2 linked regions of the Arabidopsis thaliana genome follow. The protein of the gene in region 2 interacts with the protein of the main gene of each other region in a biochemical or structural test. Each region holds a gene or a part of one and is shown on either strand. Other genes may lie near its edges.

The links. The genes of interacting proteins can lie anywhere in the genome.
Region 1: the proteins of HAM1 (region 2) and WUS form a complex in vitro, tested with the Arabidopsis thaliana proteins (one study listed by BioGRID).

Annotation. Positions count from the first base shown.
Region 1 is NC_003071.7:7,808,660-7,812,417, reverse strand, and holds WUS (Homeodomain-like superfamily protein), read left to right. Parts: upstream 1-1,606; 5' UTR 1,607-1,746; coding exon 1,747-2,242; intron 2,243-2,844; coding exon 2,845-2,933; intron 2,934-3,024; coding exon 3,025-3,318; 3' UTR 3,319-3,547; downstream 3,548-3,758. Other genes in the region: AT2G17960 (uncharacterized protein), read left to right, coding at 1-38. UniProt on the Arabidopsis thaliana protein: Transcription factor that plays a central role during early embryogenesis, oogenesis and flowering, probably by regulating expression of specific genes. Required to specify stem cell identity in meristems, such as shoot apical meristem (SAM).
Region 2 is NC_003071.7:18,618,810-18,622,567, forward strand, and holds the start of HAM1 (GRAS family transcription factor), read right to left. Parts: upstream 1,643-3,758; 5' UTR 1,224-1,642; coding exon 1-1,223. UniProt on the Arabidopsis thaliana protein: Probable transcription factor involved in plant development.

The DNA.
Region 1 (3,758 bases), about 11 Mb from region 2:
GGATGGAATCCAAAAGTTTATCCAATATAATCGACTAAAGTTAAAAAATGAGTAATCCACCAGTCTAACTAAATACTTTCTTTACCAACAAAAATTTGGGATACAACTGAGTTTATTTAGGTGATAAAAGATTATAAGACTTAACCTTTTAACAAAAAAAATTTTTTAAGACTTCAATCCTTAGATTGTTTTCCAAATATTAATAGTTACAATAGTTAGTTTGTAAAACCTATTTTTAATTTTCCGATACTCTTTGCACGTTGTGTTGAATCCGAGAAATCATGGGGGCTATATAAACAAAACTATACTATGAAATAGCCAAGCAACTTCAGTGATCGGATCTTTGGTTTTTTATTTTAAAAAAAATAAATATTTTATCAGCCGTATCTTCAGGGCCATTCCCCATAAAAACTATAATAGCTTCTATGAAATTTGTAGATTCCTAAAAAAATCTTTATATATCTTTTATATACAATATGTGGCTGTTACGTAGAACAATAAGACTATACAAAAGTTGGGTATTGTTCCTTTTCAATTACAAAAGTCATATTCACTAAAACAAAGCCCTTCAAACTTTTTAAAAAAAATGAATAAATCACGCATTTATACAAAAAGATCCATCCATGCTCCTATAAATTCGAGCATATAATTAACTAAAGAATACTCAACATGTTCATAAGTACACCTGTCTTCACACTCGTTTCACACATTGTAATTGACATAAATTTTAATATCTTTTAAAGCAAAGCATAAGTAAAATTATATAGAGTATTTCTTCAACACATTTCCGGACGATATCACCACGAAAAATATCCTATATCACCTATGTGTCATGACTCATGACCATAAGGAAGGAAAAATGTATTTTTATGATCAAACGGTTTTCACTTTTTTTATTATTCATTCTAGAAAAAAATTATAATCGTTTTCTTTCATTCCTACGATACAATAATTCATAACGATCTTTTAGAATTTTTGTTTTGTTTTCTGTGTGTATGGGTAAATATCTTTCATACGTAGACAGATACATAACAATTAAAGCTGGTGAAGTAATAATTGTGAAGAGACAGAGAAATTGAAAAAAGAGAGTTTGTTTTTCGTCTAAGTAAATACCGATGATGCCCTCACCTTTCTAATTCCCTCCTTTGTCCCTTTCCATTTTCATGTTTATTTCTAACTTCTCTGTCCCTTTCAATCCTTCTCCACCAGATATCCTCTGATTCGATCCCCCACAAATTTTTTCATAAAAATTATTATTATTCTCACTAAAACTCTCAAGAGTAGTTTCGATTTTTCCTCTGAATAAAAAAAAATCAAATAATATATTTGACAAGAGAATTTCCTTCCTAAACATAACATTTTATTTGAATGTTAATTCAATTGATTATTTTTCTTTCTTATATCCTTTTCTTTGGCAAAATTTATTTCTTATATCCAAGCACATTTTTCAATAGGGTTTTGTATGTATGAAATCATATCTACATGCATAAAAGAATAATATAGTGAATAACTGATTTTCTAGAATATTGTAAAACCTTCTTTTTGGGTCCCCATTTATATATATAACTCAATACCTTACTATCTCTCTATATATATATAATCTTCTCTCTCACACAAAACCTAAAATCTCTTTACTACCAGCAAGTTGTTTTCTTGCTAACTTCAAACTTCTCTTTCTCTTGTTCCTCTCTAAGTCTTGATCTTATTTACCGTTAACTTTGTGAACAAAAGTCGAATCAAACACACATGGAGCCGCCACAGCATCAGCATCATCATCATCAAGCCGACCAAGAAAGCGGCAACAACAACAACAACAAGTCCGGCTCTGGTGGTTACACGTGTCGCCAGACCAGCACGAGGTGGACACCGACGACGGAGCAAATCAAAATCCTCAAAGAACTTTACTACAACAATGCAATCCGGTCACCAACAGCCGATCAGATCCAGAAGATCACTGCAAGGCTGAGACAGTTCGGAAAGATTGAGGGCAAGAACGTCTTTTACTGGTTCCAGAACCATAAGGCTCGTGAGCGTCAGAAGAAGAGATTCAACGGAACAAACATGACCACACCATCTTCATCACCCAACTCGGTTATGATGGCGGCTAACGATCATTATCATCCTCTACTTCACCATCATCACGGTGTTCCCATGCAGAGACCTGCTAATTCCGTCAACGTTAAACTTAACCAAGACCATCATCTCTATCATCATAACAAGCCATATCCCAGCTTCAATAACGGTGACTAATCTCTCTTATACATGCTTTTTTATGAATTTATTCAGGTGGTTTTTTATAATTACTAAGAGAACCATTTACACCACTAGCTATTACATGAATTAGCACACACAAAAAAAAAAAAACTAACAAGATCTACATATATGACTTTGATAGATATATGTATATGTTAATTGTTAAAAAGATTTTAAAAAATGCTGTTGATTTATGAATTTATTCAGATGGTTTTGATTTAAAAATCTAAAATATATATTATAGGAACATGTTACACACCATCTATTATTACATGAATTAGTAAAAATAATTAAACCCAAGAAGATGTTATGTACATGTAATGACGTATATTTGAAGTTATGGATCTTGATTGGGGCAAACCAAATTTGCATCTAAAGAACGGTTTCTTTGTTGTGTAATGGAAACTAGACTCACGTGCATTTTATTTTCATTTGTGACTTGTAACACAATTAGGGATTTGGGTTAGTAGAAAAAAAATCACTAATTTTATGTCTCTTTCTTCATTCTTTTCCCCTGTATATAGTATGGTCTGGATTCTGGAATCACAACATATATGATCACTGATGATACGTATATTAATATGTTTGAAGGGAATTTAAATCATGCAAGCTCAGGTACTGAATGTGGTGTTGTTAATGCTTCTAATGGCTACATGAGTAGCCATGTCTATGGATCTATGGTACGTACCAAACTATAATTCATTAATTCAAATAATATTTATACTACATATATGAATAGAAATTTAATGAAACTGAAATTTTTGGGTGAAGGAACAAGACTGTTCTATGAATTACAACAACGTAGGTGGAGGATGGGCAAACATGGATCATCATTACTCATCTGCACCTTACAACTTCTTCGATAGAGCAAAGCCTCTGTTTGGTCTAGAAGGTCATCAAGAAGAAGAAGAATGTGGTGGCGATGCTTATCTGGAACATCGACGTACGCTTCCTCTCTTCCCTATGCACGGTGAAGATCACATCAACGGTGGTAGTGGTGCCATCTGGAAGTATGGCCAATCGGAAGTTCGCCCTTGCGCTTCTCTTGAGCTACGTCTGAACTAGCTCTTACGCCGGTGTCGCTCGGGATTAAAGCTCTTTCCTCTCTCTCTCTCTTTCGTACTCGTATGTTCACAACTATGCTTCGCTAGTGATTAATGATGCAGTTGTTATATTAGTAGTTAACTAGTTATCTCTCGTTATGTGTAATTTGTAATTACTAGCTAAGTATCGTCTAGGTTTTAATTGTAATTGACAACCGTTTTATCTCTATGATGAATAAGTTAAAATTTTAATTACTACTATGAAGAAATGACTATTTCAGTAAATTTTTAAAAAGGAATTCCTCACAGATCCGGAGGCATGAAAGAAATGCTAGAGATGTACTATATTTGATTACAATGTTATGATCTTAATTATCGATTACAACGTGATCTTGAACCGAAATCAACAATAGTTGTTTTACAACAGAACTTGTGAACAGTTGAATGTTTTTTGGTAGTTCA
Region 2 (3,758 bases):
CCAACTCCGGAAGCGAGTTCTTGCATTAGAGACGACCATTGTCCTCCATATCCAACGTCGAAATCGATAATGTGGATCCGATCAAACCCTGATTCGTTGCAGGACTCAAGAATCGATTGATTCGCTGTGAAGTTAACGAATTGGAGAAACGGCGAGGTTTCGGAGAAGGATCTGTAAGCGGCGATTCGGAGAATCAGATTCTCCGGCGTGATTAACGGTGGTGATGATTCGTTGTGGATGAGTGAGAGGAGAGCTTCAGCGATGTGAGAAGCTGCTCTTTGAAACGGAGACTTGTGGTTACTACTAGTGTTGAGATGGTGATTGAGCCGCGCCAATATCCCTTGCGCGAGAACGGTGTGGTCGCCGTTGTTGTTTCCGGTGGTTCCGATTAGCTCCGCCGCGTTGAACAGCTGCTCGATGATGACTGACTGGTCATCGCCGGCCATTCCCGGCGACGGAACCGGAACCATAGCCACCGCCGTGGAAGAAGAAGACGACGGGAATTGTTGTTGCTGGTTGTTGTGATAAAACGGAAACTGAAACTGATGTTGACGACGAACCGGGTCGTGACCCGGATCCGGATCCGATAAAGGGAAAACGGGTTGATGAAGAGATCCGGAATTAAACCGTTTAGCCGGTGGAGATAACGGAGGATTATAGAACAGGCAATGATTTGAAGGATTGATCAAAGCTTCTGCTGGATTCGTAATCTCTTGAAACGGGAAGTTACACAGAAGATTCGAATTATCACTCACCGGAGCAGACACAGGCCCGGAACCAGACCCGAATCCGAAACCCGGGTCGAAAACACCGAAGGCAGAACCCGGGTCCATGATAAGTCTCAAGATACTCTGCTCTTGACCAGGAGAAGAAGCAGAGAGAACACCGTCAAGATCATCCAAACCCATCTGACTACATTTATTGTTATTGTTATCATCACCGGCGGTTACGGTGGTGTTGGTGACGGTGGTACCACCGCCGCCGTGAGAGGAAGACAGCGTGGTGGTGGTAGAAGAATAAGAAGCGAGAGGACTAGGACTTCTTAGAGCGTCGAGAACAGACGTCGGCTCCGGTAAAAAACCACCGACAACATAACCAAGATCTTCTTGTTTTGCTTCGGTTTTGTCTTGATTGGACCAGATTTTCTGAGAATCTGAATAGAAAGAAGAAGAAGATAAACCAAACACCCCCTCCCCTTGAAACCTTTCAAAGGATAAGGGCATCGCCTCCTCAACAACACAGAGTAACTGTAAAAACAAAAAACCCAGAAAAAAATAACCCTAGAGAGAGAGAGAGAGAGAGATCTCAAGAACAGAACAGAAAGACAACAAAAGAAGAGAGAGAGAGGTTATGTCTCAGAGTGGTTAATGTACGGAAGAAAGAAACACATGCAAAGCTCAAAACTTGTAATTGGCGCCCCAACTTTCTTTAATTTTTTCTTCTTTCTCTAAAATCACTTTCTTTCTTTTTTCTTTCTCTGTAGCTGTTATATGGATGCGTGCAATATATAAAAAGTGGTCTTCATCAATGCTCTATCTCTCTCTCTCTCTCTAAATCTTTTGGTTTTTGTAATAAGGAATTTTCATTTCTTTTTTTTCTTTCTGGTTTCTCGTCCTCTATGTGTGGCTTATGTCTGTAGATGTACTTATCTACATATGTACCGTGTTCTTGTGCCATCATTGTCGAGTCTCTTCGCAAATCCAGCGCGTGACTCTACTCTCCCCCTACAACTTAATTTGTCTTACTCTTTCAATTTTGGCCGTAAGTTGCTTCTTCTATAGTACTATTATAGAGGTTTGTGTACGAGCTAATTCTATCTACTTGTAAATTTTGAAACAACAAAGTACTACTAGTTGCTTATCATTTTTGTGTACAACGAATTTAGTGGTCTTGCGATGATGTCTATAACTGGATAATCCCTCTATAACAACATTTCCTCAAAAGGAACTAAAACATGTTTTTGCCATTTTTATTTTTATTGGTTGATTTTTCTTTATCTTCGAAAAATCTAAAACAAATTCTTCCAACATACCATTGGAAAATAATACAATAACGGAAGGGAAAATAAAAAAAAAGAATTTCACCTCTCAGTTTAAATAATTTCCCGTTTTCACGTACTTTATTTTCGAATACTTTCTCCAAAATAATGAAAGAAAGGGTCACTGATCTGAAACAGTGTTTTTTGAAAGAAAAAAAAATCTTACATATGCCGAGGAAACAGAGCAAAAAGACGAAACTGACGCAGATGGTTCATTACTAATATTTACTTTAATTCCCAATTTTACCCTTAAGATTCGAGGAAGACACTGCAAAAGAGAGAAGGACAATATAGTAATTAGAGGGGAAACAAGTCTGGCAGGTGGCTTTGGGCCTGGTTTTCGAAACTGAATCTGACGGACCGGTGCTCTATTTGAGTGTCTCTCTGGTGTGGCTTTTTGAAGATTTTTTGAAAACATCGAGACCAAAATCTTTCAACGGCTGAGATGCTTTGTCTCACTTCAAATCCATTGGCTCTAAATTATGTTGGAAGTATTCTTCCTTTTTCTTTAATTAGTCTTAACTACAAAATCTAAGATGGTGGTGGTGTCGATTACTTTAACTCGTGATTTAAAAACTAAACTCTTTTTTGCAAAGAACTTAAAGTTGTTAATCATAACATGTGTTAGTTAAATAACTAACACTATTTTATTCGAATTTATTATTAGGACCTTTTTTTGTTCATGGAATTTATTTTCAAAACTACATTATATTCATATATATATATATATATATATGTATTAAAGTTTTTGAAGAAAATACTAGTATTGTTTTGTGTGAAAGCATCTCGAAACATTTCCACTATTTTGTTAAAAACCTAAACTATAAGTTTATATTATTTGAATCGCACTTTGATATATTAATTTTGGTCAATGAAAATGACATTGCTATGTCAAATTTTTCACTCTGCTATTTGTTTTAAAACAAATGTTCATTTAAATATTAAGTAGTTAATGTACATTTTGTCCATTCTTAATAAACTACTTACATTAGGTATACAATATTAAAACAGTACTAAACACCGGTGTTGGAAACCAAACTTATGTTAAAATTATAAAACAATTTTTTCCTTGTCAACACAAATCAAATTAATCGCACGGTCCCAATATGTTGTTCACAATTTCTAAGAAAATTCGTGGTAATGAAACACCTCGATGACATAACATGGATCACGCTAACATATTTGTTTATTCTATATCTAATTCACTACTACATCTACAACCATAACAAGCACACAACAATAATATAATAGCATTACCAATAAATCAAGTGGTTATGTATGTATTTAACAACAATAAGTGGAGTAAATGAAAATCAAACAAGGAGATGGGCAGCTGGATTTCCAAGACAAGATTGAAATTCTTGGTTGCTTGTGTATGAATGTAAAGTAGACATGCTTATTATGTTATTATTATGTATCAGTATTGCCTTGAGTTAACCATATATTTACGTTCTTAAACCAGAAAGAAAAAAACAGATTATTATTATTATTATTTGAGCATTGTCATTATGAGAGACATGGTTTATTTCCCAAGACAAATCACAAACCTCCATGTGAGTTTCCACCACTATTGTGTCTCTGTCCTAAAACAAAATGTGTATCGCATTAAATTAGTTTTCGCCCCTTTTTGTTATTTTTAGAATACAAATTACCAACTTGCTTATTCAATCTTAGAGGTGATGACTAGCTAAAGAAGGGACACCACTAACGTGCCACTTGT